Linked DNA regions of Cricetulus griseus. The protein of the gene in region 2 binds, or shares a complex with, the protein of the main gene of each other region. Links are inferred from orthologs where the notes say so. Each region holds a gene or a part of one and is shown on either strand. Other genes may lie near its edges.

Region 1 (4,515 bases), on a different chromosome or scaffold from region 2:
CCACGGGAGGGGGAGAGAGAGCCGCAGCCCCCTCCCCCGCCTCTCGCTTCCTCGAGCGCCGAGCGGAAATTGCCCCCTCCCCGCTCGGGCTGACCTGGGGACGTGGGCGGGGCCTCGCGGTCCCCCCCCCCCCGGCGGCCTTCCAAAATCCAGCACCCCAAACTAAGTTCTGAGATCCAAGCCCGGCGCGGGGACCGCCGCTCTCGACATCTCGGGTGGAGCGGAAGCAGGCGACGCCACCTGTCCGCTCCTCCTTGCGCGGGGAGCCCGGGGGCCCTGGGGTCTCCACCGCGTCACCCCCTTCTGAAACCAACCCCCCTAGGTTCGCCGGCTCTCGGTGGAGCGAGCACCCCGCATCATCCTCTCCCACCCCGCTGGTCCTTCGGGAGTGACCTCAGCCGGGTCGCCGGCTCCCCCCCAGGAACGCTGGAGAGCTGTCATCCAGCAGCTGGACTGGGTGCGAGCCAGCTCTGCTCCGGCGGGGATCCCGAAACACCATTTGCCGCGGGTCCCTCGTTCCCAGGAGCTGTCCCGCGCGACCAGGGTCCCCCGGATCTGGACCCGGGAGGCCAGGGAAGTCTCCTGGGGGTGTGGAGGGGAAGACAGTGACGCCCTGCTTAGAAACGTAGAGGGAAGGCGTCTTCCCCCCTAACTAGCCGGTTCTTGCGATCCCCTCCTGAAGACCCCGGAGTCCTCGGCTTCTCTTTGTCTGTCTCGGCCGTCCCCCGCCTGTCAGTCGCTAGCAGTTTACCAGGGTGGGGTGGGCAACCCAGTCTCCACACAACGAATAAAAAAATGACCGAACGTTTCACTCCAAAGGACTGGGGAGATTTGGGTCGCCACCGCCCTCCCCCAGGGCAGGTCGCGGTGGCAAGAGGGGTGGGTGGGGGCGGGGCGCCGCCTCAGGGGCCAGGTTCTTGCAAAGGGGGAGGGGGCGAGGGGAGCTTCGGGGACTCCGTCTCCACCTTCCTGGCTAACCCCTGGGGTGCGCCGGGTGCCCCCCAAGACCGGAGACTGTTGGGTTGGTCCCGGTTGGACGGCCCAGGGGCCCGGTGGCGTCGGGGGTCTTTCCTTGCAGGGTGGGTGGGGGCTGTCACCACGTGGCTTCGCCTTTTTTTTTTTCCGCTCCATTTTTTTTTTTTTCCAAGTCGATTTTATTTAGAGGCGGCGCCAGGGCGGCCGCGGAGAAACGTGACACACCAGCCCGCTCGCAGGGGTTTCGGACCGAAGGGAAGGAGCTGCGCCGCGTCGTCCGCCTCCCTGCGCTCCGCGGGCACTTCTCCCGGGCCACCCCGAACTCTCCCGTGACCTCCGCGCGCCCTCAGGTCGCCCACCCGCCCGGAGCTCCGGACAACTTGAGGGGTGGGGCGCGTAGAAAGTTTGCAGCTCCCGCCGCCCGCCTCCGCGCCTCTCGGCCTAGGAGGCTCTCCGCTCGCCAGCCCGCCCGCCCGCCCGTTCGGCCTTGCCCGGGACCACGTCCTGCCCCGCCACCGCCACCATGAACAAGCTTTACATCGGCAACCTCAACGAGAGCGTGACCCCCGCAGACTTGGAGAAAGTGTTTGCGGAGCACAAGATCTCCTACAGCGGCCAGTTCTTGGTCAAATCCGGCTACGCCTTCGTGGACTGCCCCGACGAACACTGGGCGATGAAGGCCATCGAAACTTTCTCGGGTAAGAGCGCGGCCACCTCCCCGGGGGAAAAAAAAAAACAAAACCACACAACGAAATCCCAGAACAACGGAGACCCGCAGCTCCTCTTTTCTTGCCCGCCAACTCTTCCCGGGCCCGCGGGGCTCGGCCTCGGTAGCCTGCCTCGACCTACCTCCCTCGACGCCCCCTCCCCACGCGGGAATGGTCGGGGTTCCCTTCTCCCTTCCCCCAGCCCGGGACACGCGAGGCTCCTCGCCCCCCTCCCCACCGACGGGGCGGGAGCCCCCGTCGGCAACTGGTGGGGGTGGGGGTCTCCCGGGCCCCGGGTCTAGGCGTGGTCTCCCCGGTGCCCGCACCCCTCCGCTGGGAGGCCCCCCCTGCTGGAGCACCCCCACGCCCATGCTCTCCCTCCTAGGCCTTCCCAGGAGGGGTGCTCCTGCACCTCGGGTCTTCCCGCTCTCTTCCTGGGCACTCGCCCTGAGACAGGACGTGGGAGGAAGGGGCTCCCGCCTCCCGCCCAAGGCCTGGGGCTTGAGCCATTTTGATTTGAAAGTGGGGCGTGAGCCGGGTGGCGCGGCGGCGGCGCCGGGTCGCCATGCTGCTTCCCGAGACGCCGAGGCTGGGCCGAGAGGCGCGCGGTGGCCGCGAGGGACCCTCCCCACCCGGCCGCGCCGCGCCGCGCCCCCCGGGGCCCTCGGCTAGCCCTCCGGCCCCGACAGGTGACGCCTAGTCGCCTGAGCTCTTCTCCGAGGCTCGGCAGGAAAATAAAGTTTAATGCTCTACTCCCACCCCACTCGGAGAAACGGGGTGATCCTTTCCCCGGGCTCCTTCCTACTTCTGGGAGCCGCAGAAGCCGCGCGCTCACCACACAAACGCTCTCACACCTTTCCTAAATCTGGCTCTCGGAGCAGTCCCTGCAACTAGCCCACGTGATTAGTGGAAATTAAACGAAAATTTGAGAAAAACGAATTTACGGGTTCTACCATGCCTGGAGCAAGGTAGAACACCCCCCCGCCAAGGCTTAGGCAGCTTAGTGCCTAGATTCCTAAGACGCCCCTCAAACTCTTGAATTTAGCTAATGTTCCTTATCCTCCCTTCCTCCCCATCCCCCACTCTTGTTCCCTCATTCATTTTTTTTTTTTTTAAATCTTCAGGGAAAGTAGAGCTACAAGGAAAACGCCTAGAGATTGAACACTCGGTCCCCAAAAAACAAAGGTAGGAAAAGAACTCATTTGGGGGAACTGAGGAATATTAAGGGGGTCCAATCCATAGCGTCGTCTCCAGTGGAACAAACCCATTACTGGCCTTCCCAACTCCGGATGTTGGGGGCTGGGAAATAAGATTGGCCAAGATCTTGTAATGGGTGTTTTAGAGCTTTAAAAAAAAAAAAAACAACAACAACAACTTGGGATTGGGGTGGGCCAAAAGATGTTACTTTCAGAAACTAAAGAGAAAAAAATCAATTGGGGGAAGCCCTGTGGAGTTAGTTCAAAGTGAGGGACCATTTTTGTAGGGAAGCGTAGATATACAGAGTTCAAACTCATAGCGGGGGTGATTTCTTTAACTTCCCGCCAGGCTTCTTCTTTTTTTTTTTCTGTTTCTCTCATCCACATAATAATTTGAAAATGGATTTAGGGGAATCCCTTTCTCATTGGGGGTGAAATAATGAGCAATCCACCCCTATTAGAATCTGCTTATGCCGTATTAATTTCTGTTATAGGCATGGCTTTTGTTGCCCCCCTCACAGACCCTCATCCCCAGCCCCTCGCATCTTATATTGCCCCTTCAACTGGATTTTCAAAGAATATCCTTTGGCTGTACTATCCCTTTCCAGCCCCCCCACCCCCACTCCTTCAGCCCATTGTTACAAGGGACCATCTGGGGTGAGAGCTTTGTGCTCAGGCTGTGAGCTGGGGCTCTTTGGAGGGTCTAGAACTCCAGGGATGAATGGGTGTGTGTGTGTGTTCTCATCTGAGTTCTTTTTTCCCTGTATTCCATCTTTTCCATCAAAATGGGGTATCTCCATCTTGCTCCCCTAAAATTCAGGGTGCTTTGAATTCTGAAGTCTTCGGTTGAACTCTGACTGTGTAGCATAAGGGCAGTGTTTCTCACATCAGACTTTTTGAACATGTTGACAGTGCAGTTTTCTTTCCTGTCTTTAGCTGGAAGCAGTCCTCAGTACATTTTTGGTCCCCTCAACCCCTCTTTCAACTGGAAACTTCCTGAATTTCTGAACAGTTTTTGGCCTTTCCTAAGGTGGAAATGTGTGTGGGTGCTGTGCTTTTGGTGTGTGTGTGTGTGGGGGGGGTACTTTTAAAGAATCTAAAGTTTAGCTGGAGATAAACTGTTCTGTGGTTTGCCTTCAGATTTTAAAGTAACTGAATGATTGCCTCTATAGATGATCAATATTGTGTCTGTTTCTAGAGTATGTGATTTGTTGTCAGATGCTTGAGAAATTGGAAAGGTGATTAGAATTAGGAGCAAAGAGGCACTAAAATGAAAAGGAAAGAAAAGTCTTACTTTGAAAAAATTTGGGAGAGAATAACATAATTGAGGTCTATTTGAAGATTATGAATATTTAAATTCAAAACTCTTGATGGGGAATCTAATAACTGGAATTCTGAAATATGTGATCTTTCCCCTTCTGCTCTTGAGAATGGTTTAAAATTTAAAGCCGGAAGAAGGGATAAGAAAGAAATAGCAAAATGTGGTGAAATGGAACTCAAAACATTTATATTTTAATTTTCATGGTGCCCTGTATTTGTGGATCTTTCTCTTCAAGCCATCTGCTTGCTTTTATGGCATTTCTATCTAGGCTCTCTGTTCCCTCCAAAATGCATTACTAAGAGCTCTTTTGAGTTGG
Region 2 (3,812 bases):
GGTACCCTGAAAAGACCAGGAGGCCATAGATAAGTGAGATAAAAAAAACAAAACAACAACAACAAAAAAAAAAACCAAAAAAAAAACCTGAAGTTAGTACTCCGATACACAAAAACACAATACAAAGGACTGAGTCTTTAGAAAAGGCGTTCTAAGACTTTTATGCCAGAAATTATATAACCTGTGTAGTAATAGTCATTAACCTAAGAATATCACAATTAATTTTTAAAGGACAATGCATTGCCAATTAATACTATACTTTAAAGTACTTATTTTCTTCTCCAAATATTCTCACAATGAACATTCCTCATTCCTGTAGATGTGCTGAGGAATCGACTTACATCATCATCTTCACCACCATCCTCTTCTTTATCTTTCTTCTTCTTGTCCTTTGGAGGAGGAATGAATTGGGTCATCTGAATGCAGTCCTCCAGAAAATATTCTGTCAGGGACAGTCACATTAGTTAAGTACGTGATAATTTATAAAATGTCACAACTGCAAATTCATTTGCTAATCCACAGTTGAAACTACTTTCATCCTCATCAACTTGAGGCTTCACAAGTATAAGAAATTCCTACAGTTAAATTTCAACAACAGAAAGTACATTATGATTCCATCAAACTCTGCAAGATTTGAGATAATTCTTACAAAGACAGCTGGGGTTTCCCCTTTATACAACTTTTTAAAACCAAACTTTCATGGAATCTGTGTATACCATCATCCTCTCCCAGGAGGATGTTAATGCAAAGACTGAAGATCACTAATCAATGCTGTGCCTAATATTCTAAAACACCAAGAAGTGACTCTATAATCTCTATTCTGTATCTTCAACCATAAAGCCACCACCCAAGACTGCAAACCAAAGGTACATAAATTAATGTCCACCAATTTTATTCACTATTAAGTTGTACTCCCCTGCCACTTAGAAGTCCACTCTTTAGGAACAAATATTACTATCAAGTCCACTCTGAGTAGTAGTCAAATTTTATTGGCAAGGAAATCCACGTACACATACTATTTATAAGGTTTCTGCATGAAATCTGTAATTGCCACTTTTCTATTCAGTGTATATTTGTAATTTAAACATTAAACTTAATCTAGTACCATCATTAGCTTTCTGCTCAAACTGTGCCCATCTCTGCCTTTTGCCCAGATTAGGAGAGATTAAAAAAAATTTAGTGGCATGGCAGCTATTGATTTCATCACACTGTTAAGTCTCTTAGGGTTAGTTGCGTTTCCTTACCTGGACTGTGCAATAAGTTATTTCAATAAAATTCATATATTCTAGGTTGATCAAAATTTTTGATCAAGTTTCTCTGTAGCTTTGGAGGCTGTCCTTGAACTCAGAGATCCACCTGCCTCTGCCTCCCGAGTGCTGGGATTAAAGGCGTGAGGCACCACCCTTGGCCGATTAATCAAAATTTTAAATCATCAACTCAGCTGCTGTCCCAATGCCATGCCTGCTTCCATGCTTACCATGTTGATCATAGACTAACCCAAAACAACAGTATAATCTGTAAGAAACTTAATTCCTACCCTCTACTATCTACTAATCTCTTTATAAAGTTCTTCAGTATTGAAGTACATCAATTATTAGAACTTTGAAACCCATAGCCTGAGAAACAATAAGATTATGTCACAGTATTTGGCTTAGATGGGTGCTGGGCCCACCATTTATTTTTTAATTAAAACAATGTAGCATAGCATGGCTATTCATCTCACACAAATACATTTCACAATATTGTCGACTCTCTTAGCAAATTTAATTTCCTCAATTGGGCTGTGCAATGCTACTTCAATAAAATCAAGATGTTCTTATAATAGTCAAAGTTTTATCAAAAGCATAGAAATCAATGGCCTGTTTTTTAAGCCTGTATTCATATGGTATCCTAGGAAATCCACAGAGGATCCCCTGGGGTTGCAGATGGTTGTGAGGCAATACTGGCATGTTTTCAGTCTTTTAAACTATCACTGTGATCGCCAAAATTAAGAAAATGCATAGCTTCCTTCCCATCATATCCACATAATTTACCTTGAACTGGGAAAGTCCTTCCATAAACTTCAATGATGGGGCAATTAAAGAAATATTCACAGAACATGGTGGTATCAATAGTTGCAGACATAAGAACAATTCGGACTTCAGGATAAGCCAGAACCACATCACGAAGTACTACCAGAAGGAAGTCAGTCTATTGAAATAAGAACAATAATTGTAAGGGGTAGCAAAATACACCTTTAAGATTTCTAATAGTCATAAGACATTAGTGAAAATTGTTTCACACACCAGTTTAAGATTACAGTGAATTTTTAATGAGATAGGGTGGTTAAGGATCTTAGTATAGCATTGACTTCACTATACCTTATAGACCTTAGACTTGATTCCTCTTTCTCCCAATTCCAAAGCCTAGGATTATAAGCATGTACTACCATCCCTAGTGTTATATACTGCTGGGAAACCAAACTTAGGGCTTCCAGCAACTGACCAGCTTTTTCCTGTTTCTGTATGTGTACTTGCATGCTTAAGAGGGGAAAAAAAAACCTTTAGGTAAAGTTTAAAATGCACAACTTTCACTAGAAACATGGTAAAAATCAGTTCAAATAAAGTAACAGCCACAACTTAGTTTTATAATGTTTAAATTGCCTGCCATATCACCCACCATTATATTTATGGGTCCTCCCTATGTAGGCTTTGTATATATACCATACTTTTTATGTCATGCCTATCTCAAAAGACTCTAGAGGAAAGGAATTTGAACAGAGGTATCCTAGGGGTGGGTATGGAGTCAGTGAATGAAATAGCTCCCACAAACAACCAAGTCAGTAACTGAAATGCTAGGAATGGCTATTTAGCTAAATGCTGATATCCAGCAACATTAAGACACATATACTTCTAACAGTGCTATATAGGTATGCATATCCTGGTCTACAGAGAGAGTTCAAAGATAGCCAAGGCCATACAAATTCTGTCTTGAAAAACCAACAAAACAAGTTATGTTAAGGCAAAAACACTCCCACCAATTTGTCAGAACTTAAAAGACCAATCCCTTTAGAGATTTGGTATCTATGACATTTAGTCTTTTCTTTATGAAAATTATCTACTTCTTTTTTGATGCTATGTTCACGCCTTGCATGTCTTTTTATTAGACATTAAACTCGTTTAGGTTTTCATCTAGAACAATGTTTATTCTAATCTGGGTATAGTTTTCCATGTAAAAGATACAGGATTCTCCTTCAAAGTATTCATCCTATATTTCTTATTGTATGATATACTGCCTATCTGATGAGGTTTAACACCTTTAAAGTAGAATAACTATCCATGGTATTATTCCAGACATTAATTTTAACTCTTTAACACTAGTATGTCAACACTATAGTTAAGTCTCTACTAAAACATCTGGGTGTACTTGTTCATACTTTTAATAAATGACTAGGGAAGCTAAGGCAACAGGACTGTTCAAAATCAGAGGCCAATCTATGTTGAGGACCCTGTTTTAAAAAGAAAACCAAGAGTAACTCCTAGATTCCAATAGCAACTTGGGATAGTTTGAATGACCAAACTATGTGGACACACTTTTTCTTGTATCAATAGGATCTTTAAAAATTGTGTATTTCAATATCAAACTTCAATTCCTACAATTGTATAATAAAACTATACTGACTTGCCAAGCACCCAAGGCAAAGGTGAGAAATAAAATTTTCATTTTCCTGTTTCCCATGATGATTTTTAGCATCTGAAATAACCTACCAATACCCACCAACATTTTGCCAAAAGCACAGTATCACATACAAAGGAAAACTAATCCTAATATCC

What was found.
Region 1: Dhx9 (region 2) and Igf2bp1 share a complex: the UniProt entries of both Homo sapiens proteins name them as parts of the coding region determinant (CRD)-mediated complex. The link is inferred for Cricetulus griseus from reciprocal best matches to the Homo sapiens genes DHX9 and IGF2BP1.

Annotation. Positions count from the first base shown.
Region 1 is NC_048600.1:109,139,757-109,144,271, reverse strand, and holds the start of Igf2bp1 (insulin-like growth factor 2 mRNA-binding protein 1), read left to right. Parts: upstream 1-1,498; coding exon 1,499-1,673; intron 1,674-2,806; coding exon 2,807-2,867; intron 2,868-4,515. UniProt on the Homo sapiens protein: RNA-binding factor that recruits target transcripts to cytoplasmic protein-RNA complexes (mRNPs). This transcript 'caging' into mRNPs allows mRNA transport and transient storage.
Region 2 is NC_048598.1:38,201,260-38,205,071, reverse strand, and holds part of Dhx9 (ATP-dependent RNA helicase A), read right to left. Parts: intron 2,191-3,812; coding exon 2,034-2,190; intron 443-2,033; coding exon 342-442; intron 1-341. UniProt on the Homo sapiens protein: Multifunctional ATP-dependent nucleic acid helicase that unwinds DNA and RNA in a 3' to 5' direction and that plays important roles in many processes, such as DNA replication, transcriptional activation, post-transcriptional RNA regulation, mRNA translation and RNA-mediated gene silencing.